2 linked regions of the Arabidopsis thaliana genome follow. The protein of the gene in region 2 interacts with the protein of the main gene of each other region in a pairwise test. Each region holds a gene or a part of one and is shown on either strand. Other genes may lie near its edges.

Region 1 (4,526 bases), about 27 Mb from region 2:
TTAAACAAAAGTCTTTATTCCAAAACTTTCAATTCACATTTGTCCCACATTACTTCACCGCGTTATTTGTGTGATATATAAAACTTATTTTGTTCATAAGTAAATTGTAAAGAAAGAATTTGTTATTTTTATTCTTTTCTTCTCTTGCAAGACAGCTACCAACAGATAAAAATACCGAAAACATGAAACCGTGTTATAACGCGTTCACACTAATATATCCGTTCATTTTAAAAAACACGTATTACTAATACGCCGCGTCAGCTCAATTGTATAGAGCCGTGTGACCAACTCTGTGAGGTCACCAGTTCGAATACAAGGACCTTCAATATTTACCACTTTTTCGTTGGCAAAAAAATAGTTTATGACTAAATGAAATAATTATAATTCGAAACTTAAATAATTTAGAGTGGGAAAATGTTCTTGAATTTTACATGTGAACCCCCCAAAAAAAACACAGAAAAGTACAAAAAAACGTCAAAGAAGTAACGTTAGAAGGAGACCATGATTTGCATGTGAAATAGACATAAAGGAGACAGTACGTATTTCGAAGTTACGGAGCTCTCCAAAATTCAGAAGAAAACCGATTTGACCGTTTTTGGACCCACTACATGTATTTATAATGCATTTGATAATTCGTCATATCGAATTTGAATTTAATTTCATTCTTATGATCGAGTATTCGAGTCACTAAGATTATCCTTGTGCTTATTTGGTGATATTCGCCATATACATACTTGTGTTTTGGATAGGTATATTTGTCTATAGGACTATTTAAGACGAGTACATTATAGTCTTTAGTACTAATCATAAATGTTAACCATAATTTTTCTGGTCAATAACTTATATTGGCCGCATAACACTTTTAGAAAATATGGAGTGATGAAAATTTCGATTGTTGTGAGTCTCTGGTTAACATTTGGATTACAAGATTTTAAAACGACATATTTCTGATAATTGGGAATTTAAACTAGATACAGAGTTCATCAACTAGCTGGTCCATAACAAGGTCAAGAATCTCTTGACCAAATTCGACACAAAAATCTTCGACCTGAGTAAAGTCAACGGGTTTAGTTGACGAAGTAGAAACCCAAGTGGAAGACTTCATGTCTTCTTCAGACAGATCTGAGAGCATATTCATTAGTTTTGTGATAAACTCTGTCTCTTCTGAATCATTGTTGGTGCTATTGTTGTTTTCTTTCTTGGTACTTGTTTTTGTTTTTGCTGGTGATGAAGAACATGAAGATTTTGTTGCTGTCTCTACTTGCTTTGTTGACAACTCCGATGCACTTTCTGAATCTCCTCCTGTTTTATTTTTCAAATTAAAGTGACGTTTAAAATATGATTGGGCAAATAAAAATAAAATTTCTCGAAAATGTTGAGAAAGTCTCATTTTCGCAGCTTTTTTTACAGTAAAATCAAGAAAAATGTTAAAAGCGAAAATGTTCTTATATTGGTTAAATTTAATCATTTTTCAAATAAATCCAACGTTTAAGGAAAATTCTTATATTGGTCAAATTTTGAATAATCTTATTATTTAGTATTTCAAATAAAGTGTACTGAATCGGTTAAAATGTTGACCAAATGACCAAATTTTTACCTCATTTGCAGTTAAAGTAGGAAACTACTCACATGAGATGATTCTTTTCGCAAAATTTCAAAGAAGGTTCAAAAAGCAATTAATTAAGTTCAAATATTTGTTCGAGAGATAAAAATGTTTGAATATTATTTCGTAGACTCACCTGAGAAGTAGTAATCATCGTCAAGGATTAGATAATCATAAAGATCTCGATCAAGAACCGAAACCGGACTCGCGTTAGACTTATTCTCCGGCGACTCACTCTCTTTTCCGATAAACTCATCAGCCCGAATATTCTTTGATTCTCCTAGAAGCGCAGTCTTCTCCGACGACGACTTACTCTTAGATGGAGAAAGAAACCAACGAACTTTCTTGGCTCCGTTAACGTCATTTCGATTCTCACTCTTCTTCTTCTTCGCAACTTTCCTCGGCTCATCTTTAAACTTCTTAGCAACTTTCTCGTTCTCCTTCTTCTTCGGCGCCGAAGGTGGCAATGGCGGCTTCTTGGAATCTTCCACAACCTTCTCGAACCTTTTAGACCTCGAAAAAGACGATGATCCGACAAGTTCTCTCTTCTCGTCAAGCTTGTCAAGATACAACAGCAGGAAATCATGTTTCTTTTGTTGGTTATTAGAGCTCCATCTCGCCGAGGTTGGGACTATCTCACGGAAAGAAACGGAAGCTTTGACTCTCCGGCACTGACGTTGACCGTCTTTCTCGTCTTCGTTTTCTTCTTCTTCCTCGTGACCTTTTAGGATGTAGTCCATGAAGTTAACCGATTTGCTCCTTGTGACAGCCGAACCGGAATCATCAAAGTACCGGAACCGTTTTGATCCGGGTGCGGGATGATCTAGCCCCATGAGTTTGGCTACAACGTTGGGAGGAGGAGGAGGTGGTGGAGGGTGAAGAGAGACGTCATCGTTTTGGGTTTCGGTTTCGGTTTTGATCTCTTTCTTTGGCTCTTCGTTTTCTTCGTAAGAGATTAGTAGTTGGAGTGTTTCGTCAGAGTCGAGGATGTTGTCGGAAGGGTGAGTCTGTTGGCTACCAGAGCATAGAAGACGGCGGACTACCGCCGTGAGGCAGCCGGTCTTAGGGTTGGCTCGTTGGGTCATGGTGATGGCTGATAATGATGATGGTGATAATGATAGTGCTTTAAGTTGGAGTGTGTGTGAAAATGTGCAAACAAGTTCTTGGTATTTATAAGGACAAGAAGAACACACAATTTCTCATTATTTGCGAGGACCCACCAACTAATTAAATTAAAGCAAAACTATATGGGTAAACAAAAGTATCGTGAAATTTTGATATGTTAAGTGAAATTGTAGTTTAATAAACGTTTATTATTCAGTTTATATTAATTGGTAACTCAATCTAATTAATCATATTAAGTCACTTCAGATATTTTAAGATCTTACCAAAATTACTATGTTATGTTATTTTATTTGTTTGCAGTGAATAAAATATGTTTTCAGTTAATGATGTAACCATTATATTTCACTTATTTCTTATCGGTATGTATCTTATGACATAATATATAATAGATTAATTATTGGTAACATAGAAAGGAAAAAGTACCCAGGATCAATTTAAAAGCTATATCCAAAGTGATATGCTCTGATGATTCTGTTTTTTGAAACTCAACGGACGAAAAGAAACTTTGATACTTTTGAAAGAAACTTTGATACTATTGATATGCTCATCAATTATTTCAAAATAAAGGTCATGTAACAACTTTTTTTCCTTCACGTAAGTTTTATATTTAAAATGGTCAAACTTTGTTCTGATTGCTTTAAAGCTTTGAACAAAATGTTACTATATGTGATTTACTTTTCAAACATACTGAATATAACTTCAGGTTGAAACTTGAATTTTGAAGTAGATGTATATAGTTAGCAAACCAATATGTCACATGCAATTCTAAAATAAAATGAGAATTTAGCTAAAGTCAGATTAGTAATGTTAAACAAACTTGAAATGTGAAAATTTTCCGTTACTATAATTTTTTGAAAGAACTATAATTTTAGCCAGAATGACAGTTCAACAAAAGAAACTTCTAGCTTATTTCTCAATGTGCACTGCACGGTAAAACAATTCATTTTAAGATATAGAGGACTAAATCTTTATCAGATACTAAATAAGTTGGCGGGATCAATCTTTTGAATAGTGATTAGAATCTTTACAAGATGAATATTATAAAGTTGCAAAAGGCCTCTTCGAAACCTATCTACTTCGCTTTACTATTATAAACATATATAGAGAGTCTTTAGAGCAACTAACTTAAAGGTATTCATTGATTTTCTTGTCGTCGAGTTTAAGAGATTAATAATGTATGATTAATCTGATCATTACATTTACTCACGATTAGTCTGTTTCATAATATAGAACTTCTTGTTTTTTCTGTTTGATTATATTTGGCCATTTAGTTAGCGTTAGTTTTTATAATTTCATTCGTTGATACAATACATGCGCAACGGGTAACACAATGTAGCTAGTACTTCTTTTAGTTCATTAAGATATGATGCTATTGTTATGTTAAATAATATCTTTCTATAAAAAGTTGATGGCTTCACTAGCTAAATATTTGCAAGGCATGATCGTCAAGATCAAAGATTCCAAATTCAAAATTCGAAGTGTACAAAGAAAAAGAAGAGAATGGTAGTATAAAATATTTACAGATTCTTTTTTACTTTTCCTTTTTCAACTTTTTCAACTTTTTTTCAAAATAAGAAACACGAGAAAATCTGATATGCGTGGCGTCATTTTCAAAGGTGAAGGAGAAAGTACTTGGGTCGCTTAGTTCACACCGGAAAAAGAGGCAACGAAAGCAGAGAGACAAATCTAAATAATGTCTGACGCGCGTGAATAATATTGCCACAAAGAGACTTGCCTTATTCCCTATCAACTCTCGACCAATTATTATGCATTTCTGTTTCTTTCTTCTATCTAAGCA
Region 2 (4,013 bases):
TTTGTCCTTCTTAATTTATGCTAAGACGTTTTCTTGTACATTTTGCCTTCAACAGTGTGAAGACGAGTCATGCAAGCACACAACCCGCTCCCCCAACTTTCGTCTACTCGGTGAACGTGAACGGGGGACAGTTTGCCCAAACTATCCTAACTGTAACGGAACCCTCTTACGAAAGGTATATACCATCATCAACCTTATAACTCCTATCTCTCTATTGCTTCACAGACTAACTCTTGACTTTACAGTACACTGAAGCAGACTTGTACAAGCAACTGTCATACTTCTGCCACATCTTAGACACACAATGCTCTTTAGAAAAGGTTTCTACTTTACAACCTTGTTATATTATTAATATCAATTTGTCTTGTCTATATCCCTAAAGTTATCGGTACCATTTGAAATAACAGATGGATGTTGGCGTGAGAATTCAAGTAGAGAAAGCAATGACGAAGATAAGACCTGCGGTTAAGTCAGCAGCAGCAATCACTCGAAGTAGTAGAGACCGGTGTGCTTATGGATGGATGCAACTCACAGACATAGTCATTTGATAGTTGTAATAATCATCTCATATGTAAGTAAATTAGTCTTTTATATATAATCTGCTTCAGACATCATTATAATCAAACTACTCAGATTTTGTTCACTCCTAAAGCTTATTAGCATAACTATAACTGAACATAGAAATCTGGCCAATGCTAAAACTCAAAACATTGTTCACTCCTGTCTGGCAGGTACTAGAGGAATTCCGATCATCATCATTGTCTGAATGTTATCTTCAAAGCAGAGTGGCTGTGGAAAAGCACATTCCTTGACTTGTTTTAGCTGGTTCCAGCGAGTGAGGAGCAGCGAGAAGAGTCTCTAGGTTCAGGTCTTGCTCTAAGGTCTCATTGATCCTTGTATGAGTTGGAGGTGGAACCTGTGGTAATCGCATAGGGTTTAAGCCTAAACCATTCATAACGGCTAAAGTCTGCATCATGCAGTAAATCAAGTTAATGATCTGAGTGATGTAATTTACAAATCAGACTTTGAACGTATATAATCATAGTAAGTAGGAAAAAAACCTGGACTTGAAGTTGAAGCTGCTTCAGATATTCTATAGCTTCATCAAGCATTGAGGCTTTATCAGTCTATAAACAAACAAAAGATAACGGATCAATCAGAACAATGTTTCTCACTATCTCTGATTCGAACAAAGATTGATTAACCTTGTTGGAATTGGGAATGAGTTTCTGCAAAGCTTTCATTTTCTCGTTGATCTTGCTCCTCCTCTTCTGCTAACACTCAGATTCTAATCAACTACAATCTCAAGGTTCTTCTTCTTTCTAAATTAAGAATCTTAAAAGGAAGATAAAAGAGAAAACCTTTTCAGACAAGTTGTGGAATTGAGCATCAATGTTTCTCTTCAACGAATTTCTCTGTTTAGCTCCACTTCTCTTTAGTGTTTAGCCATTCCAAAAAGAAAAGAGACTAATTTTGGTTTTTGTTTTCTTTTACAAGGAAAGCCAAGTGAAGCATCTCTGCAGCTAAGAATAGTTAAGTTTATACCTTGTGTTCGAAAGCATATTTGTCTTGGCCAGTTTCAGAGACTCCATAACCGACGGAAGAAACAGCTCCGCCGGAAACGGAAGGGAAGAAGGTCTCAGCGGAGGAAACATTAGTACTCTTCGGTGGTGAAGAAGGTTGAGCTGTAGGAGTACGGGAAAGAATCTGTCGGAGAAAGCTCGAGAGTTCGTCGGAAGAAGATGGAGGGGGAAGACGATCACCGACGTCAGAATCACCCATCTCTCTCTCTCTCTCTCTCTCTGCTCTACTCTGTGTGTAAAAATTATCACTGTGGCTTTTTCGTAGTAAAGCTTATAGGCGGGGGAGGTAGGACGCGTGAGATCACGTTCTTCAGAGAAGCGCGTGGAGGTTCTAAAAGAGGCGAGTGGCGTGTCGAATCCCTATAGACAGAATCTGGTGTCTCACATCACTCTGTGTGTGAACAGTTTCCTTTTGTAGCAATTTTATTTAATAATATTATATTTTTTACCTAATAAAAAAAAGGAAAAAAGCATTTTTGGACCACCAAGTAAATAAAAAACATACATTTTTATTGTTTTTTTCAATGTGATAAGTTAAATTGAGAGGAGGGGATGAAATTATGAAAATCAGTAAATGAAACGGTTGAAAAAATAAGAGTATTGATAAGATAGAGCATTGATAGACTATTTAATTATTATTATGACTAAACATGAAAATGGACAATTACTTGAAAAGTAAGGTCTCGCAACAGTTTCACCATTTTTGACAAATTACAAAAATCTATTTTTTCCTTCTTTTTTGTTGTTGTTGTTGTCCACAGATAAAGTGTGAATAAAACTGCATGCATTTCGAAAGATTATTTATTCGAGAGATTATTTAACACAAAATAAAATTCAGATATTATAATGGTCAATACAAAGACGATAACATGTCCTTGATCATTAGCCTTTTTTTAATGCATCCAAAGGGAAATATATATAATATAGTAATTAAAATAATTATGGTTCATAGCAAAAATAAGAATAACTAGATTTTAACCCGCGGTATACCGCGAAAACAATTTATTTTTTAAATTAATATATATAAAAGTTTGTAAATTGTATCTATCTATAAAATATTTTTATTGTATAGTTTACAATTGTTATTAAGTAACGTCCTGCCAAACCCGTCCCGCCAACCCGTCCTCTAAAAAAACTCATTTATTTTATGAATGTGATCTTATTTATGATATGTTTATGAATTATTGTCTAAATATTTTGTAATTTTGTAGTAATTAAATGTTATCAAATATCTCTACGGTTTGATGATTATAATCATGCAGAAAAGCAATATCAAAAATGATAATTTTGTAGTAATTAAATGATATTAAATATTTTAGAAGTTTTATTTTAGTAATTAATCGTGTAGTTAAGGTAGAGAGATTTTGGAAAGATTGTTAAATGTCAAATATTTAATTAGAAGATTTTCTTTCTAATTATCAAAAACAATTATTAAATGCCAATGACAGCCGCTGTAAATAAATCCCAACTCCAGAATTTATTTCACAAAGTGGCTGCAAAAATATATATATAGATGATAATAATCAAAATCAGAAATCAAATCAAAATCCAACTTGCCATCTAAATAAATGGAATCTTTCTAACTTGATAAAAAGGGAAATATTGGTAATTATGGTTCATAGCAAAAGAAAGAAACAAAAAAACTGAAATCCAACGAGATAAACGGAATCTTTCAAACTTGATAAAACATTTAAACGACTTCTCGGTTGCAAAGAGGACACTTGTTCGTGACCATTAGCCAATTCTTGATGCATCCGAAGTGAAAGTCATGCCCACATCCCAGTTTCGAAACTTCTTCATTGTCCTTCAATTTCTGCTGACAGATCACACATCTCTTCGTTTCATCGTCGCTACGCTTTTCATATTTCCTTCTTATTAGATTCTCATCAATCACTTCCTCGCTTAAACCAGTGCGTTCATCTCCTGTTTCGTCAGTGATGCTCAATAATTCCTAGAAAAAAAAAGATTCATTCATAAAATTATCGATATCTAAACTCTGCAGCTTATACAACTCTAGAATCAAGAAACCAAAATGGTACATATAATTTTTATTAAAGAGAGTCCTAATCTCTTCTACATCTAGGATTCAAATGCACTTCTTTGAAAACTACACATGCAACCGACTAGTTAACCAATACTGGAAGCATTAAATTTTCAATGTTATCTTGCAAAAAACTCTAAAGTGCTAACTTCTAAGATACAATGTTCATAACAAATGAAAAAATGGTGAAGGCTTTCAAATGTGATGTAAACACTTTAGTAGTTTTTGAAGATATTTGCATATCAAAACTTAATCTAGTCTAGTTATAACATATATAATATACCTCGTAAGTGAAGATGTCTCCATGAGAAGATGGATTTGTATACTCTTCTAGTGACTCTGTTTCAAATTGTTCATTTGTCGATGACTGTAACCAGTTTCTCCAATAC

Evidence for each region.
Region 1: the proteins of ALC (region 2) and ACI1 interact in a two-hybrid assay, tested with the Arabidopsis thaliana proteins (one study listed by BioGRID).

Annotation. Positions count from the first base shown.
Region 1 is NC_003076.8:150,737-155,262, reverse strand, and holds ACI1 (ALC-interacting protein 1), read right to left. Parts: upstream 2,818-4,526; 5' UTR 2,689-2,817; coding exon 1,740-2,688; intron 1,303-1,739; coding exon 968-1,302; 3' UTR 796-967; downstream 1-795.
Region 2 is NC_003076.8:26,784,557-26,788,569, forward strand, and holds ALC (basic helix-loop-helix (bHLH) DNA-binding superfamily protein), read right to left. Parts: upstream 1,876-4,013; 5' UTR 1,783-1,875; coding exon 1,546-1,782; exon of another isoform or gene 1,434-1,545; coding exon 1,362-1,433; exon of another isoform or gene 1,272-1,361; coding exon 1,206-1,271; coding exon of another isoform or gene 1,128-1,205; coding exon 1,062-1,127; exon of another isoform or gene 968-1,061; coding exon 776-967; 3' UTR 550-775; downstream 1-549. Other genes in the region: ICU2 (DNA-directed DNA polymerase), read left to right, coding at 56-175, 246-320, 408-548; AT5G67120 (RING/U-box superfamily protein), read right to left, coding at 3,274-3,534, 3,908-4,013. UniProt on the Arabidopsis thaliana protein: Required for the dehiscence of fruit, especially for the separation of the valve cells from the replum. Promotes the differentiation of a strip of labile nonlignified cells sandwiched between layers of lignified cells.